Linked DNA regions of Danio rerio. The protein of the gene in region 1 interacts with the protein of each later gene in a pairwise test. Links are inferred from orthologs where the notes say so. Each region holds a gene or a part of one and is shown in the gene's direction. Other genes may lie near its edges.

Evidence for each region. The genes of interacting proteins can lie anywhere in the genome.
Region 2: the proteins of cep70 (region 1) and gpatch4 interact in binary tests that used the Homo sapiens proteins (3 or more experiments, as listed by UniProt). The two-hybrid records come from large-scale screens. The link is inferred for Danio rerio from reciprocal best matches to the Homo sapiens genes CEP70 and GPATCH4.
Region 3: the proteins of cep70 (region 1) and hspd1 interact in binary tests that used the Homo sapiens proteins (3 or more experiments, as listed by UniProt). The two-hybrid records come from large-scale screens. The link is inferred for Danio rerio from reciprocal best matches to the Homo sapiens genes CEP70 and HSPD1.
Region 4: the proteins of cep70 (region 1) and sytl4 interact in binary tests that used the Homo sapiens proteins (3 or more experiments, as listed by UniProt). The two-hybrid records come from large-scale screens. The link is inferred for Danio rerio from reciprocal best matches to the Homo sapiens genes CEP70 and SYTL4.
Region 5: the proteins of cep70 (region 1) and lamtor5 interact in binary tests that used the Homo sapiens proteins (3 or more experiments, as listed by UniProt). The two-hybrid records come from large-scale screens. The link is inferred for Danio rerio from reciprocal best matches to the Homo sapiens genes CEP70 and LAMTOR5.

What each region holds. Positions count from the first base shown.
Region 1 is NC_133197.1:12,298,245-12,301,178, reverse strand, and holds part of cep70 (centrosomal protein of 70 kDa), read left to right. Parts: intron 1-1,728; coding exon 1,729-1,831; intron 1,832-2,934.
Region 2 is NC_133191.1:32,152,005-32,156,146, forward strand, and holds the start of gpatch4 (G patch domain-containing protein 4), read left to right. Parts: upstream 1-1,332; 5' UTR 1,333-1,539; coding exon 1,540-1,618; intron 1,619-1,760; coding exon 1,761-1,834; intron 1,835-2,833; coding exon 2,834-2,926; intron 2,927-3,125; coding exon 3,126-3,236; intron 3,237-3,348; coding exon 3,349-3,464; intron 3,465-3,567; coding exon 3,568-3,618; intron 3,619-4,142. Other genes in the region: gon4lb (GON-4-like protein), read left to right, coding at 215-328.
Region 3 is NC_133184.1:33,978,049-33,982,199, reverse strand, and holds the start of hspd1 (60 kDa heat shock protein, mitochondrial), read left to right. Parts: upstream 1-1,341; 5' UTR 1,342-1,389; intron 1,390-4,151. Other genes in the region: hspe1 (10 kDa heat shock protein, mitochondrial), read right to left, coding at 420-422. UniProt on the Homo sapiens protein: Chaperonin implicated in mitochondrial protein import and macromolecular assembly. Together with Hsp10, facilitates the correct folding of imported proteins.
Region 4 is NC_133189.1:40,023,270-40,027,218, forward strand, and holds the start of sytl4 (synaptotagmin-like protein 4), read left to right. Parts: upstream 1-1,139; 5' UTR 1,140-1,246; intron 1,247-1,616; 5' UTR 1,617-1,694; intron 1,695-2,726; exon of another isoform or gene 2,727-2,772; intron 2,773-3,949. UniProt on the Homo sapiens protein: Modulates exocytosis of dense-core granules and secretion of hormones in the pancreas and the pituitary. Interacts with vesicles containing negatively charged phospholipids in a Ca(2+)-independent manner.
Region 5 is NC_133183.1:26,634,992-26,639,180, forward strand, and holds the start of lamtor5 (ragulator complex protein LAMTOR5), read left to right. Parts: upstream 1-1,379; 5' UTR 1,380-1,505; coding exon 1,506-1,540; intron 1,541-1,630; coding exon 1,631-1,692; intron 1,693-2,318; coding exon 2,319-2,436; intron 2,437-4,189. UniProt on the Homo sapiens protein: As part of the Ragulator complex it is involved in amino acid sensing and activation of mTORC1, a signaling complex promoting cell growth in response to growth factors, energy levels, and amino acids.

The sequences.
Region 1 (2,934 bases):
GTAGTTGGGTTTAGATGTTTGGTAGGATTAGAGATGTAGAACAAGATCATGCCAGTACTTTAATTATAGGCAGTTAGTAAGCCACACTTGCAATCAGAACTCGAAGAATAAGACTATGAAAATGGCTGAAATCTTTACAACAATGTGAACATTCAATAAGATTCATTCAGGTCTAACTTTACATTTTCTTTTAGTTTTCTGGTTGATTCATGTTTTATGTTTGTGGCTCTGTACATAAGTTTGTTGTATTACCATGTAAAAAAAATCTCCTGTTTCCCCTGTGTTTTTTCCCCTAATTTCTGTTTAACGGAGAGAAGATTTTTTTTCCAACACATTTCTAAACATAATAGTTTTAATAACTCATCTTTAATGACTGATTTATTTTCTCTTTGCCATGATGACAGTAAATAATATTTGACTAGATATTCTTCAAGTCACTTCTACACAGCTTGAAGTGATATTTAAAGGCTTAACTAGGTTTATTAGGTTAACTAGGCAGGTTAGGGGAATTAGGAAAGTTATTGTATAACGATGGTTTGTTCTGTGGACTATTGAAAAATATATAGCTTAAAGGGGCTAATAATTTTGACCTTAAAATGTTTTTTTTTTTAATTAAAAACTGTTTTTATTCTAGCCAAAATAAAACAAATAAGACTTTTTCCAGAAGAAAAAATATTATCAGACATACTGTGAAAATTTCCTTGCTCTGTTAAACGTCATTTGGGAAATATAAAAAAAAGAAATTCAAGTGGGGGAATGTGTGTGTATATGTAAATTTATTTTTAATTATTTATTTAATTATAATTTTGTTTTTTACATAATACAATGAACTACAATAAATAGCACTAGAGGTGCTATTTAGCTTCATGCTTCAAGCCCAATGTTCATGCCCTTGGATGTCTTTTTATAACAATGGCAAGACTGTAAGCTGGGACTTACACTGTGTTTCCTATTTTTTTTATGCACCTGTCAATTTTAATGTAAAAAAACACGGAGAATACATTGAAATCTACAGATGCTGATTGATAAAGTGCGACAATTACAATACATATATCCAAACGTCATTTAAGGGATGCGTACTGATGGTTGGAATAATCAATATTTCTCAGAGTAAAATCAAAAAATACTTGCGAATGCTAAATATATTTTCTGTACAAAATATCAGACCTGAGTCTAATGTACATGTACTTAATGTTAGATGAGCATAATGGGCCACAACGTCTTGAACAATAAAAGAAACCTGCACTTTAGTGAGTCAGCATTACTATTGTTGTTTTTTGGAGCAGCAAAATGTGTAATCAAAATGTATTTAATAAGTTTATTAAATGTATATCTTCAGTTATACGTCATATAAAAGTTACTGTTGTTATAAGAAATATTTAAATATTTGTTTATAGTATATACAAAATAAACCATTAAAAAAATGTCTGCATGGCTAATTTCTGAATTACAGAGCGCAATAAGATTTCCATATTCCTCCTTTATAAAAACCTTTGGCTCAACAAAAAAAAAATTACTCAACTTGCTGAATAGTCAGATTTGTGCACTAAAAATGTATGCAAATTAGCACATGTTGAAATAATGTATTATTTGCATATGTAAACATCACACTTTAAAAAAACTTAAATGCCTTTTATGTTGTTGTTTGAATTATTGATGTAATTAATCAGCTGGGAAAATGTGGAGATCACGATGAGCTGATGCTTTGCTCCTCTTCTGCTGTTGTAGATGATAAAGCTCCTGCTAGTGAGGTGGTCAGCAGCGTCTCCAGTGTCCTGTCTCAGTCTGGACAGGAGATCTGCAGCCTTCTGGAAAGCAGCGACATTGACAGGTATGTGCGTCTGTTCATTTGAATATCTGTAAACCTTTTCCGTTATGACTCAGTTCAGGGACGTCGGCTGATGGCGGTCCACATCTACCTGATGCTTTAAGTTCATATTTGAATCATCCGAACACATCCACACAGTTAATGACGGCATTTAATGGTCAAATGAAATAGGAGTAAAACACAAATTATTTCTTTTATTTTAATCATATTATTTTCAGCAGGTCTAAGACTAGAATAGCTATAGGAAATGTACTTTTTATTCTGTAAACTACTGTGCTGATACTGCTGGTAAAAAAAAAAGTTTAATAGAGAACATAGAAACATGTTTAGTAGAGACTTTTTGGTGAAAATATATTTGTTTTTGCAAAAGATAACAAGGAGCCATGTTTTCATACATTAAATACATTTTTTAGACAACAAAATGCCTTTTTCAACTAAAGAAGATACTCTCCACATTTTCATGCAACATTTTGCCGTTACAGAATTTACTAATGTCCATTTTAGTGCTGAGCAAAGATTAATCGCATCCAAAAATCTAAGCTCGTTTTGACGTTGTGTGTGTGTGAGCGCTGTGTATATTTATCAAGTACATTTAAATACACCCATGCAGGCACATATTTGAGAAGATATTTATAAATATCTATACACAGTGTTATATATCTCATTGGTATCATTCACATATATTTTATAAGTTGTCTGTTTATATTATCTATGTCAGGGTTTCTCAACTGGTTTGGCCATGGGACCCACATTTTTACATGGTCATCAGGCCGCGACCCAAATTTTTAGGAACTATAATATAATTTTAGGAAATATAATTCATTTGTATTTATTTGTTAACACACAAGTAATGACTGATGAATCAAAACGTATCAAATTATAGAAATATTTCAGAGTAAAAACGTCAAATACTGTAAACAGTGGTTTGGGTAAGGAAAAGTTTAGTTACTATTAACTAAACTGAACTGTTAGTAAAACATTAACACATGATCCGGTTGAACAGAAAAACAGCAAATTAAAGTAAACATATTAAAATAATCATAACCATTTTTATAATAATCACCAGTTATTTGCTCTTCTGCTTTTGTGTGGGCTTTCTTGGCCTT
Region 2 (4,142 bases), on another chromosome or scaffold:
GAGAGATGTAAATGTTTATTATGAAAAACCACACTACATTAGATTTATTGTAAAAAAGTGTTATACAACTATGGTTTCCCGTCAGTTTTTACTGCAAACAACACATGCGCAAGCCCTAAATGATGAGTACAAGGGCGTTCAGCAAAAGCAATCTTTTCTTAAAAAAATGGGGAACCAGAAAAAAAGTGCATTTTTAACATGATTGTGTGTGCAGGTTTCAAGGAGATTTCGGGATTTAATGCGTCTGTTCCACACGTCAGCTTCTCAGGCCAGTTCAGAGGACGAGGCTGCAGAGCAGCAGTCGGCCACTGATGAAGAGCAGGACTGAACCCTGCCTTCTGACTGCTTCATTAAAAAATACTTATGCAGTTCTTCTTACACTGACACCTGCCAAAGATGTGTTTTAAGCATGGTGGAAAAAAAGGTTCTGTTGGCCTCCTTTTAACATGTGAAGTATAAATCCATCATATGAAGGTGCTATCCGTCACGTTCTAAACACAAAACCAACATAATTATTGAAGAAATGTAGCACAAACTGCTCCATTTTATCCCTGATTATTGTATTGTAATTGGACAAATGACAGGCTCTCACTTAGCACAAAATGAGATGTTTGATAGCAGAGAAATTGTAGAGCACTAACCAGCATATTCTCACCTCCATGGTTTCTGACAGGTTGATTGTATATTCTGTGAATATGTGAACATATGGCATGTACAGTATTTTTATATCAGGGTGGTTTTGTTGTTTTTATTTTGCTTCAGATGTTAGTTTTGAGAATGGCGCACAGTTGTTGGTAATCCAAATAATAAAATGACTATTTATACCATGTTTTGAGTCTGAATTAAACATGATTAAACATTATGCAGTGAAGGATGACTGTTCCATTTTGAGGTTCACAATAAATTTTATTTACAAGGGATTTGAAATCCACTGAAAGTCTATTAATAGCATGATATATGTGAAAAGCGCTTTCATCGTAATATTGTGGAAGATGTGTAAATATTAAATGTTTATTCTGTATATTTATTCTACAATACAATATTTATTCTCGCCTGTTCTTAACCTTTTGATGCACCACATGGGTCTAAATTGACGGGTCTAAGGTTATTTTTTCTATATCTATTTTGGAGCTTGTGCATCAAAAGGTTAAAATTATTAAAACAATGTGATTATACTACATATATTTTCATTAGATTTTAAATAAGTTGTAATCATTTAAAATCTAATGAAGATGCATGGTGTGTATGTTTTTAAAAGAACGTACACACGCAAAATTTATTTAATCCATTTTATGCCAAAACGCGTTTGGTTAATCGTCATCAGTGACCCTTGTCACTTCCCGTAGTTGCCGGTGTCATGCCTGCTCTCTTGCTGAGCGCGTGGTAGCGATTGTTGGTCTTTTCCCTTCTTTTTATTTTAGTAAGCTGTTACGATTTACAGAAGTAAACAGCTAAAATACTCAGAATTAACGAATATTGTCAATGTGCAGTTGGCTGATGTGTTTTACCTTCATATTCGAGTGCAGAGTTTAAGAATTCATGGCAGAAACGGTCCAAGAAAAGAGTACAGGACTAAAGTTCGCTGAGGAGCAGCTTCTACGACACGGATGGGAAAAGGGTAAAAGCACGATATATTTGTTGTGCTCATGATTCATCACAAACTCATGGCAGATATGATTGATTATGACGCTTCGTCCGCCATAGACGGACCAATCCTCACTGGTGTGTTATGGTTGTGTGTGTGTGTGTGTGTGTTGTAGGTAAAGGTCTGGGCAGAGCAGAGAATGGCATTTCAGAGGCGATTAAAGTCAAAGTTAAATGTGATAAAGGAGGGGTGAGTGACAAAACGATTTTTATTAAGATCTCTATTTTGCGTGCAACATGTGGGTAGTTGACAACACGGGCAAGACGTTTTATGTTGTTGCAGGTTCACAAACCATAGAACAGGGGTGTCAAACTCAATTCCTGGAGGGCCGAAGCCCTGCACAGTTTAGTTTCCAACCCTGCTCCAACACACTTACTTGTAGGTTTCAAACAAGCCTGAAGGACTCAATTAGTTTGATCAGGTGTGTTTAATTAGGGTTGGAACTAAACTGCAGAGCTGCGGCCCTTTTGAAACTGAGTTTGACACCTGTGCCATTGAAGGTGTCATTAATTTGATACAAATAAAATGGAAGTCTATGAAATATCCTCACCAAGACATGAAAACAAATGTTTGTTTATTTGTAAAAGCTTTAGAATTTGTTTAAAAAAAAAACCTGTGTGTGCTTAAAATTTAAAGACGTCATCAAGAGTGCACTTAAAACATTTCTACTATCTTTCTAATAAGTTGAGCCAGAGATTTCAGCCTAAAGCTCTGATTACCATTCTTGTTCAATTCCGTAACATTGCTTCTGAACTTTGGCAAAAGCTATTATTGATAGTCTGTGTATGTAAAATCAGAACCTAATTAACTAATTATGTCAGAAAACCCTGTTCTCTCTAATTAGGGGACACAGCCTGTATATCTTTTATATGGTATTGTTATGTATGATTTCATTACGATTTTTTTCTTTATTAAAGAAAATGCTAAATGAACTCAAGTACAATTATTGTTATATTTTTTATTCCAGTACATTTATTTCAATATAATTATTTGTCTAGGTTTGACCACAAAGAACCAAACATAACTTTAAAATGAACTACAACAATATTATTATTACAATGAAAACTGTATAATAATTCTACATGATTTACTTCCAAAAACTGTTTTAGATAAAGTACAGCATTGTAGGTCTAATCAAAAGTCCTTAAATGTATATTTTGTTTTTATTCATGTATCATTTGTCTTCAGATGGGCCATAAGCAAGGAGAGCAGTTTAGTTTCCACTGGTGGGACCATGTTTTTAACAAAGCCTCGTCTGGTCTGGTAGTGGAATCGGGGCAGGTAAGGAATGAGGAGGATTGAATGCAATTTTACAATGTCCAAAAAAGTGTCTATGGTTTATTTATTTATTTATTTTCTCAAACAGTCTGGATCTTTAAGTGAATACTAAAAAAATGTTGGCATAGAGTTGGTTTGTGTAATATGCAGCATGTTGTAGTTTGTAATGCGGGCTCATTTGATGTTGTTTATTATGCGTCAGAATGGTGTGATGGTGAAGAAATCAGATGACAGCAGTGATGGACTGATCTCCAACAAGAAGCCACGCAAAGCTCAGCAAGCCAAGTCCATGCTCTATGGATGTTTTGTCAAGGTACAAAACCACAAACAGCACAAATAATAAATGGAAAAAAATACAATTCAGTTGTATTTTCAAGAAGCATGTGTGAATGAATGAATGTTTAAAAATCTGTTTCCTCTGTTAGTCTGCTACGCTACTGTCAGGAGAAGAACAGCCAGAGAAAATCAGTGATGCAGAAGACGACAGCAGCAGCTCTTCTGAAGACGAGGACCAGAAACTCGACCTGTCTACCACTACTAAGTATGAGCTGCCAATATTACTATTACTAAATGTCCAACAAGGGAACTTCAAGATGGTGTTTTTTAGTTTTCCCTCATCTGTGTATTTCTGTGTCTGATTTAAGGCTGTCTGATGCAGATCTGCTGAAAGCTTGTGGAGGACGAACAGCACACAAGTACGTTTACAATATTGTTATCTGCACTAATGTAATAATATATTAATTCCTAATAGTTAAAATTATATAAATAATACTGTAAGAACTCTTAACGTTGATGCATTCCCATCACATTTGAGTTAGACATTTAAGGTTTAAGGGTCACACTTTACAATAAGGTTCATTAGTTAATGTTAATTAATGCATTTACTAACATGAACAAACAATGAACAATACATTTACTACTGTATTTGTTCATGCTAGTTAACGTTAGTTAATGAAAACAGTAGTTCATTATTAGTTCATTTTAACTCATGGTGCATTAACTAATGTTAATTAGTAAATGTTCAGTTATGATTAATAAATGCTGTACAAGTGTTGTTCATGATTAGTTCATGTTAGTAAACACATTAACTAATGAACCTTATTTTAAGTGTTACCGGTTTAAGAAGAATCAAGGAAAACATTTCATTGTAATATTAATGATTTTATAGGTTATTCATTTGCAATTAAGACAATACATTAATACACATTTTCAATTAGAT
Region 3 (4,151 bases), on another chromosome or scaffold:
AAAACACTCTTAACACGTTAAGTATTTATAACACAAAATGTCAGGTGCATTTTTTTTATCGTGTAACATTAACACTATTAAAACCCCATTTACACATCTAACGTTAACGTTATACCAAAATGTTACGCTGGTGTATAAACCAGCTGTTAGCAAAATTATTCATTAAATACATCGGGTTAGCTCTGAACCTTATTGACATAAACCAACCTTTCACCCACACTTCACGTGCCCATATTAACTAACAACTTCAGCATCAAATCATTTTTACACATTGAATCTGGGCACGACTGCATTACTAACCGTGACCTTGCAGTCGCAGTTGATGGGGAGTTATAAAACATCACGCGAAACAATTCAACACAACATAGTAACATCTCATTCAGACGGAGTAGTTGGATTAATTATCTTACGCGTCTTACCATTTTAGCTGATCTTTAAGAAAACCGCGTCCGACAGAGCAGCAAGAGACCGTCACACTGGACCACTTCACTCCTGCGATCCACGTGAAGAAGAAATGTCTGGAAGGGCACTGCGCATGCGCCACAAGACAATCCCTACCGACCCCAGACCTGCAATCTAGAATATTCCTCGATCTCCCAAACCTTACATAAAGACATTTGACTCTTTTTTTGTTGTTTCGTAACAAAGGAGAAATTTTTATCTGATTGTTACAGCATTTATAACTTGCACAATATTTAAATGAATAATACATGTGCTGCTTCAGTACAAAATTTCACGTTATTCAAACACATTTAATATAGATGATTTTTATTTTTAAAAGATAAAATTGACAAATAACTCAACTCAAATGCATTTTTAAAAGCTATCTTGAGCTTTCTACATAATACTAATATTATTAATAATAAAGTATTGTAATTATATAATATAAATACACATATATTGACTTAATATGTAGATAATCTATAAGAAAAGGTTATAATATTAGACCTTTAACAAAAAAAACAACGAAATTTGCAAAACGCAATACCATTTCTGGTTGCACAATCTTGACCTCTGACGTCTATTTTTCTCCAATAGAATCTGCGAAATTTCTCGAACTTAAAGCCCCGGAACGAGCATAACACCGATTTAATAGATATTAATGATACATTTTGTTCACATTTTCTCCCACTGTCGTCAAAATACGTCAATTATTATTGAGACAAAAGTTGCTGAAAGCGTATGTTTTAAAAAAAGCATAACGCATACATAGAATGTGAGAGTATTGAGTTATGCAGATGTCAGGGCTGCGGGGGAGGTTACCCGGATGAAGAACACATGTGCGTCGAGTGGAACTGCAGCGGCTCTAAAGCGGCTCCTCTTATATCATTCAGCCTGCTCCGCTGACGGACACGCGCATCCCTTCATTCACCTCCAGATCACTCTGCAGTAAGTCACTCAGCATTATCCTCATCCATAAAAGCCTATAAACACAATATATTGCTTAATGCTCTTTAATGCCAAGCTGATATAAAGATAATTGAAATCAGTGAGCTCAAACAGGCAGGGACGTATCGTAGCATGTAAGTTAATCATGTAACACACTGTCACGTTGTTTCTCAGAGTTATAAAGTAGCATCGTGCATGTTTCTTGTCGAACGACTTGTCAATTAGTTAATTTTTTTTTAACATTTATCCTTGATGACAGATGCAGCCATTAGAATAGCCGGCTTTATAGTAAGCAGGGTGTTTTGCATATTATAACGTTATGCACTTATGCTGACAACTGTAATGCATGTGTTTAATTTAGCTGTTGCTTTATAAGCAATTTAAGACAGTATAATAGTGGTTATAGGTGTTCAGTTGACTATTGCAAGTTATGCTATATTGAGGCCTACGAATATTAAATATTTTTATGTTTGGAATATTTAAGCGGTGTAAAATCTACTATGGTTGATTTTGATTAAACAAAAGGAATATCCAGGGAACTTTATAACGTGAACTCATGGAGATGAAAGGCATCATTTCCGTCTGTGTCGTGACGCGGAGTGATTTTGACCTTGTGACGCCCTGAACACACGTGGGGTAGTAGAGGGACTCACTACAGGCTTTACAAGACACGATTGTTTAAACATTAGTATTTACATTAAATACAAAATAACATTACACTGAAAATGTTAGTCTAATGTTATATTAAACATTTTTTTAAATGCATGGTACTCTGATTTTACGAAACATTGTTGTAAGTGTCCATGTGATCCATGAAGTGATGATATCGTATATTCCAGAACATGTTTTAAGGGGAGGTGCTGACATTTTGGACACCAAATAAGAGGAGAATTAGCTTAAAAAATGAATGAATGGCCAGTGTAAAGCATTGGAGGGGGCGGCGAGTGCAAAGACAAATTTTTGGCATCCGTATCATGTGACCTCGACACAAGGCTTTTTTTCCCTTGCTGGTTAGGGATTGTTCAGATATTATCCTTGTTCAGATATTTTTTTCTGTGTGTGACTGCCATGCATTAAATGTACTCTATGCCTAACCGAACACCGAAATTGTAATGAAAAATCACACTAGGATCTTTTAAGAAACTGATTCTTCGATTTGTTGGCTACTATCAGCCAATCAGTAAAGGATTTCTGCCTGCTTCAACCAATGTTTGTCAGTTTTGGGCGGGGCCACGTCATTGATTAAATCAGAGGTTCTCAAACTGGGGAAAGGGGTCATTCATGCAGATTTTATTGTAAAATATTAGCCAAACAAAATAATAAATTAACTAATAATAATAATAATAATAAAAATTTAATTAATAAATTACAAATTATTACTATAAGCATTTTTTAAAAGAAAATGTATACCATCTAATTATTAAATGAAGATGAACATTTGTGAGATTCAAATAAGTAATTTAAAAAACAAATATAATAAATAACATTTAGATAATTGCAAGTTCTAACTAATAACATTTGAATGTGTAAATATCATAATTAAATTATTATAGTAATTGTAATAGTATATTATTAGTAGGAGGAACAAAATAATATTGTAGCCTAATACTAAATAGAAAATAAATGTGTATATATTATAATGTGCGTTTTTTTTTTTCTTTTTTTAAATGGACCAAAAAGTTTTTATGAGTATGTGTATTATAATATTTTTATCATTCAAAATCGCCTATAGTGTTGATGAAGCCAAGTAGAGCTGTGAGATTAATCAAACTCGTATCCCAATTTAAAACGTTGTGATTAGTTATTCGCAAGAGGCTGCAATATGAAATGTATATATTGTTTAATTTCCCCCACCCAGAGCACATGAGCGACTGATGGCTGTGTGTGACAGTCTTACCAGCCAATTGAGTGAGCACACTTTTGTTCTGCTCAATCAGAATTTTGCAACCGAACTACAGCCACAATAAAAAAGAGAAACCAAACCGGAAAGCGCTGATAAGTGGGATGATGGTGTCGGCTGCTTCAGAAGCATTAATCGACAAATTAATACCAAAGAAAAACAGCACTGGGAATATTTTGTTTTCAAAGTCAAAAACAGGTCATTTTTAAGAGCTGTTGCAGAATTGTTGCCACAACTTAGAATATTGAGCTCGACTACAAAATTATTCGTAAATCCAATAGCAATATCTGTCAGAAAAATCGCAATTAGCTATTTTCCCCAAATCGCACAGCCCTAAAGCCAAGTGTGGCTGGCTGTAAATAGTGTAAAATCATTGGATATTTTGTGCATATTTACTGAGAAATGACCAGATATGAGCAAATTTTTATTATATTCCATTTTTTTGTTATTTATTTTATAAATTAAATGCTGTTTATCCTGTAAATTACAAATAAACAAGGGCCTCTGAATGATTCTGAAACACTTTGTTTTAAATTAATTGAATTCATTTTGTAATTTTATGCCTTTCTCTAAATTAATTTCAATAATTGCTTTATTGGCATGACAAATGTTACAAATGTATTGAATAAAAAGTTTACATAAAGTAACATACATGTATAATAAAAAAACAGTACACACAATATATAGTAGTAAAGCAAAAAAAAACATATAATATTCAAATAAAATACAATATATTTAATATATCATGTTATTCAATATATCATATTATTTATACAATTCAATTATAAACATAATTGATCAGAATAAACTGTACATTTTAACAATCAACATTTTAGGATAAAACAGTAATAAAAACAACAAC
Region 4 (3,949 bases), on another chromosome or scaffold:
TTAAATAAAATAATTGTTCATTAATTTTAATCGAGTTAAAATGTTTAGTTAAACAGGATTTTGATTTTAGGCCAAATTGCCCAGCCCTATAAGTGGCCATCAATAATTATTTTCATGGTATTCTTCCATTCATTCATTCATTCATTCATTCATTCATTTATGCATTCATTCATTTTCTTTTTGGCTTAGACCCTTTATTAATCAGGGGTCGCCACAGCGGAATGAACCGCCAACTTATCCAGCATATGTTTTACACAGTGGATGCCCTTCCAGTTGCAACTCATCACTGGGAAACATCCATACGCACTCATTCACACACATACACTATGGACAATTTAGCTTAGCCAATTCTTTTTATTGTCTATTAGTTACATTTTGGTCTGGAAATGTTGATTTTTTAAAAGCATTTTTACATTAAAATTAGCTGTATTTGTTCATTGTATCGGAAATGTTTTGTAAGATTCTTACTTTAAATTTTCGGACGTTATTGTGTACATTTTCTACCATGGAATATTGCCATGTAATTAAAACATTACATCATTTCACCCAGAAGTTATTCTTTCTTTCTTTCATTCTTTCTTTCTTTCTTAATCTATGTTTTTAGTAAGTAATTCTGTCCACATTAAATTAAATTTACAAGTGCCATTTTGAGGGATGTAAACAAAAACAATAGTCCCAACGAATTTCCTGTTTTACTTGTTTAATTTCTATAGAATCCGAAAAGAGTCACATTTTAATAAAAATTGTTGTGAAATCTGTGTTATGAGTGAATCGCCTCTTGCCACAGTTTTGAAATAGTTTGATAATAAGAAGGAAATGTTCATGGGCCTTTACAAACCATGTATATTAAATATTAGTAAAGTTGCAGTTTTAACATTTTCTGGGATAGATGAAAATTATATCATTCAGCGGTTACTGTAAAGCAACATTCAGACATCTGCGTATTAAAATAATGTGTAGATATATTCCACAATATGTGAATTATTTAGTTTGAATGTCTTTTGTATATTTTTAGATTGCACATAAGTTAAAAACCTCGCTCATGAGGAATCGCTCACATCTGCAGCGCGCATCGTCGTGAACGCGCACCTGTTGCACGGTGTTCAGTCTATGGTTCAGCGTCTGACGCGCGGAACTGCAGTGACTGAAAAGTTTCCGTTTGTTCCGGGAGGACGTTTGTTTGGCAAAGCTGGAAGTCGAAAAGCTCACACGACAGAATAAACGACAGAAAAATCCTGCGCCTTTGGTAAGTGAACATTTGAACGCATGTCGTAAAGCTTTTATTCGGTTTATCTGTTGAATGTAAGGAACATGTTTACTACACTGTTTGTTTATATTGTGCCTTCTGCAGTTTCCTTTGAGATACAACGAGTTTCTCTAGTGTTGTCATTATTAAGTCTTAATGGGCTGCATTTAAGACCTAAATATGCGTGCTAAGTTATTTTTTAATGTTCATGTACTTTAGCTGTTAGTTTTCTTTTGCAACTTAAGTTTAATTCTTTTAATAAATTCGATTACATAGTTTAATTTTATCGTGTATAAGAGCAACATAGTTCTGTATAACAGGAGGAAAGTCCATTGTAGTGCTCACATTACTCCTCTCTGTTTTCCCTCAGACATTTAAAGAATGAGGAAAAGTTTGCCTCAGATTGTCTATTTGTTCGGGATGTAGACCAAACCAGTTTTAATGAAAGGTTATTATATTTTTTCCTCAACCTTTTGTCACCAGTTTATCTCTAAGGACATTTACAAGCCTTTTACTGTTAATGGTTATCATAAGTGTCTCATTTAGTATTGTAGGTTTACTAAAGACCTCCACCCATCGTTGTGTTTCCTTAAAGGGTGGCAACTCTTGTGATACACACACACACACTGAATGTTGTTCCTCTTTTCCTGATGACATTCCACCGCTTGGCCTCTTTTCCCATACTCTGTTGGCCTTTAGTAATAAATTTTATTCATTAGCTGTCCATAATTCTCCAGCCAACAAATCAAAACAAGGTTCTCATGCTCTCTGGGTATGTTTTCCCCACTACTGTTTTTCCATTCAGAGGTAGCATGATAAGTCTTGTTTATAAATATTTATCCTTCATTTTCTTTTCGGCTTAGTCCCTTTATGAATCAGGGGTCTCCACAGCGGAATAAACCGCCAACTTATCCAGCATATGTTTTATGTAGCAGATGCCCCTCCAACTGCAAACCGTCACTGAAACAACCATACACAATCAGTCACACCCATACACTATGGACTATTTAGCTTACCCAATTTACCTATAGCGTATGTTTTTGGACTATGAAGGAAACCGGAGCACCCGTAGGATACCCATGCCAACACGAGGAGAACATGCAAACTCTACACAGAAACGCCAGCTGACCCAGCCTAGGCACAAACCAGTGACCTTTTTGGTGTGAGGCGATCGTGCTACCCATTGCGCCACCGCATTACCTATAAATATTTCTATTTTTGCTAAATAAATATATTATTATATATGAAGAGTGCAGATGCAAAAGTGCCATCTGAGATTTTCTTCTAATATTAGCATTTTTACCAGGCTCCTGTTTCTTGATTCCGGTGATGTTTTTCTCAGGAATTGTAATTTTTAGGTAGTAGTTTTAAAAATGTGAACTTTTACTTTACATTTTAGTTTAGTATCGGTACTTTTACTCTACTACTTTCCTTCAACCTGCAGTCACTACTGTATTTTTTTCTTGTCTATGGGGATTAGAAAAATCAGTCCTGTGATTCCTGTCCAATCAAATCCCACATAGAAGGTAAGTCACATCATAATGAACTACCTCAAGACATGGTTGATTTACTGTTTGCAAGCATTAAAAGTTTCCAAGAAAATGTCCAAAATTGACCCAGAGAAAGTTTAGATACAGGTCACTGATGAAAATATGATGCATGATTACTGTATGTTGGCCAAAATGGCCTTGAACACCCAGCAGGCACAAGATGTCAAGATGATGTCAGATTGACGTTGTGCCCAAACTTCGTGGGGATGTTGCATTTTATTTGGAAATTAAAATCCGGTTGACATCAGAACCCAACGTCAGCCTGACATCAATGTCAAACATAAAATCAACCAAATATCAACTTCTAATGATGTTACAGCTTGACGTTGTGTGGACGTTACCACTATGACGTCTATCAGATGTTGGATTTTGGTTGCCATACCTGACGAATAAATGTCTTTGACAAGTATTTGACATCAATATGATGGTTTAGGATGTTGGCTCAACTTTGAATTTTGGTCACTTTTCAACACAACCTAAAATTAACCAAACATCATTCGACCTCATTTTTGGACATCAAAAAAACGTTGTCCTTAGACGCTTACTAGACATTGAATTTTGGTCACCTGACGTCACAAAGTAAATGTAACCTAATATTAACATCTTACGTTGTGTGCCTGCTGTGCAATAACTAAATGCACTACAGAATGTTATGTTTATACACATCCACAGATTACATGTAAATGCATCGGCTTTTCACAGCATAATACTCACTAGTCTTGAGTGCAATTGAATGGTCTACTTTTCACTCATACTTTGAGTAATATTCACAACAGATACTTTTACTCTACTTGCACAACATTTGTAGGCAAGTAATGGTAGTTTTACTTAAGTATGATTTTCAGTACACTTTCCACCACTGCTTGATTCAGTAATTTCACCTTTATGGCAAAGAATAGGTTATTTTCATTGCTAAGAGGCTGAGAAAAATGTTCATTGTAAAAGAAAATTCCAGATGGCACTTAGAGGTTTTTGTATCTGAACTCTTTATATATTATATTATATTATATTATATTATATTATATTATATTATATTATATTACATTACATTACATTACATTACATTACATTATATTATATTGTATTATATTACACTTTTTAGTGTGCTATGCAAGCCTTGTATCTTCACTGGTTTAGAGGATTTTTGAAATTT
Region 5 (4,189 bases), on another chromosome or scaffold:
ATTCACACTGAGGTCTGTATTTTGTATTTTGTTGTTCATTGTGTAATGGTTAATTGAAAGAGCTCATATACTTGTTAGCAAGTTGTGTTGTTTGAAGGTTAAAATAGCTTTTGTTGCATATTTTAAATGTTTTGACACGGCATGTGCATTTTGCAACCAAAATGTGTTATTTTGACCATGAGTGCCGCTGTTTAGGCCTGTGTTTTAACTGTTTTAAAAATGTGGAGTTTCAGTTGACGGCTGCATGAAAGCAATCCAAGGAAAACTGTAAAATAAATTAAGCAAAATATCTTATTAAAAGACTTAAACTGCACAAAAATCAGTAGTCTAAAAATCCATATATATTTAAATGTATATATATACCCACACGCAAAAATAATAATATTGTAATGAAACTATATTTATAAAAATAAATCGATCATCAATAGACAGAAGTTAAGGAATTAAATTAACCCTATAAAAATGATATTCATCAAATATAAGGCTGCATCCAGTCAGGAAAGATTAAACTGTTCTGATGGGCTCTAGAGAGGCAGAAACAGGCAGCTATTATTCTGCCAGCTTATTTGCATGTATATTGACTTTGCTAACCTGATTCATGCTTTGCACTTTGCACAACTTGTGTAATAGTATATTTTATAATATGCTTCGCATATAGTTAAGCAAACATATAGTTAATGGATGTGACAGAGAAAAAATGTGTCTCATGTCAAACCCGGCTCTTAAACCAACCTCACAAACTATAAAAGAGAGTGCTTCAATATCTTGAGTTAAAAATGGAAAAGACTGTCTGATAAAGAGCTTGAGCTCAGACACAATTGACGGTGGTCTTTTATTGTGCGTCTGGTCAGGGGACAAGGTCATTTAGAGAGATACCAACACCGAAGATTCACACGTTCCTCTGGGAGTTCTCATTGACAATGCCAGCTAAATGTTAACCACATGTAGCCTACTTGCTTTTTAGAGCATTGAATGGTTTGTAAAGAATTTATTATTTGTTCAACATAAAAACGAGGATATAGAAGATCTAGACTCTGAATTATAGGTGATCAGTCAATAGCAGTGCTGCAGGAACATTCATTTATTCCAACAGCTGCATATTAATAAATTCAAGCTTTTCATTTTGGTTCAGAAATAGTCACTCTTCTACTTAGCATTTATTTCTCCTGTGGGACTTGTGGTATAATTGGTATTCTTTTGAGAATGTCTTGTGTGTTCATTTTAGTTTAATTAAAATGTTTAACCCAAAAAATTATATTGTATGACTGACTACTTGTCGAGGTTTAGCAGCAAACAAAAGAGGACCATTTACCTACCATCCTGACTTGAGTAAGATGGCGCTAGATCCTATTTGCTTGTTGTCCCTTAGAGGGCGCCGTAGTGTTAAGTCGCGTGTTAAACTGTCAGCTGACATCCCGGAAGTTATCCAAGTAACAAACATCGCTGCCAGTTTCTGAACATTTCGTGTTTCTTATTAGTTTAATAGCCTTATTTAGGACGCTGTTATGGAGGGTGCACTGGAGCAGCATCTTGACGATACGTATGTTTAAAAAGAAACCACTTTCTTTTCTTACGCATGTAACGTTACTCGTTTTGCGTCTTCATTTACTGATCTCCTTTCTCACTCTAGGATGAAAAATCCAGCTATTGTTGGGGTTTTGTGCACAGACGCTCAAGGACATAATCTAGGGTGTAAGTAATTTTTATATTTTCCTTAATACTTCCCTTAGTATAGTTTTCCTCTGGTGACCATGATTTGCTTGGTTTACATGTACTGGGTTTTCACTTGCAACAAGAGGTTAATATTGCTTTTAATATTTACACATGTGTTGAAGGTATGTAAAACGTTTTGAATTTTTATTAGTTTGATTTGTTTCTCAAAACAGGGAACGGGTGTCTACTGTGGACAACTTTATAACTGTGTTATTGACCAACTTAAAGTTAACTGAAACAATGGTAAACAAAAAAACATGGTTAACTGGGAGAAAATACAAGCCTATTCAAATGTAATTATGCAAAAAAAATGTAAAGTAAAATTAAATGATGTATAGATATAGTTTGAGTAGTAAAATCTATAATGGCATGTGTAGTATTAAAAATATTAATCTGATAAATTAATTCAACTTGAGCATTTTAAGCCTGCTTTTTCAGTGTATTACCATGTGCAAAACAATATACAATTTAAAACTTTTCAACAAAATATAGGGTTATAGAATTGTGCTTTATATAGATTCTCAGTTGACTCTTTTCCATTTGGTTTCCAGAACTTGAAAATATACTGTAATTCTCAATGACATTACAAATATTTTAATCTCCAGGCCGGGGCTCACTATCTGATGAACATGGAGGAGTTGTATCTGTACTGGCCAAGCAGGCTGCTTCTCTAACCAAAGATGCCACCGACTGTCCTACAGTGTGCCTGGAGTCTGACTGTGGGTAAGGAAAGCTTCTTGACCAGCATCTGTCTTATTTCTATGTATCTTGAGAATTTTTTGATTTGAGAGACAACAAAACAATCTGCAGAAATCGATGACATTAATTAAGAAAGTTAAATGAGGGAAAGTCAGTTAAACAACAATCTTTGAAAGTCATTCATCCCATTATACCTTCCCTCTTCCACACACACCAGTTGTCACTAAAGTGTATATATAGTGACGTGTAATAAGTATTGAAACTATCAAATTGGCGTGTGACTTTCTCAGAAAGTATTCCATTCATTTTAATTCATCAAGGATTAATATTTTGTGCTGGTCATTTGGTTGCTTTAGAACTGTCTTGGATCAATATCACTCAAAACCACCAATAGATGGCGGCAAGTCTTAATGAGTGATTCATTGAATCATTGATATTTGTAGTATGGATATAATTATAGAGAGGCATATGATTTCTTATGAGTTTTTGGGGGTTTATTATTTTAAAAAAAGCACTATTATCAAGTAAATGTTTTTAAGTAATGGTTAATTTTTTGCCACTATCATTATGGATATTCAATCAAAAGTAATGAAAGCAATGGAACCATTTCAATATAATGCATGGCATATGTATTACTAATTAATAGATGTAATTCATCTTTTTTTAAAGTTAATGCGGATGGGTTTAAACAAAGTAAATCAATTGATTTTAACATTATAATTCCTGTACACAGTAGTTAATAAAGATTGAACATTTAACTAAACGGTTTTAAAAATGTCTGCACAGCCACAAATTTGTTGGCAATATGCTAAAAGAATGTAACTTGCCATTAAACAAGAACAACGAAAAAATAAAAGGCGCTCTTTTTTTTTTTTTTTTTAGCATTAATTTCTCACCCATGACTTGTGGAATTGCTATTCTTTTGAGAATGTCTTGTGTGTTTATGGTTGGCAGATTCTTAAGTTGACTGAACTTGCCACCAGCTGTGATTTTTAGAAACTGATATACCTGGAGTAAGCACCGTCTGACCTGGGATAGGGAAGAGCAGGGCACAAAGTAACACTTTTTGGTTTTGGCCAAATAATGAACAAAGTAATGGGCTTAGACAAACCATTTTTTGTACCAACAACACACAAACTGTCTCCTACAGTTTCTGTGCAGTATTGCCAAAAGTGCCAGGAGCAAAAATGTTACTATTTGCCCCAGCAGTGGGGCACGTTGTAACAAACAGAGGGTAAGTTGTAACGCATGCTTACAAAGGCAGATTCCACACAGTTAATTTAATTTCTGTTTACTTTAAATAGTAGCTATATTTCCTCAGTACTTGGCTCAATTTATTTTGTGTTATACATAGCACAGCATGTTTATTTACTTATTTATCCACTTAATGAACACATTTGGATTTTTTTTTTGCATTATTATAAAATGCGTTTATTTGCATTATTAGCAATAAAACTAATTTTTTCTATTAAAAAATATATATTTTCTATAAAAAAATCATGTTTATTTAAAAAGTTCTCAACATTACATTATCAAAAATAAAAAATAAAAATATTCAGTTAGTTTAATTGGTGTCCAACAGTGTGTGGCTTAATTGTAACACCCTGTTACAACTAACCCTGCTGTGTCGTGTTTTCTTCAAAACTGACTAGCAGTCACTGTCTTTTTACATCTTTCAAAATGGTTTCATCTTTTAGCCTAGAAGATGGTAATCACAGCAATATAAGATTTTTTCGTACATGCTTTCACAGATGTTTTTTTAAGTAAAACAAATTTG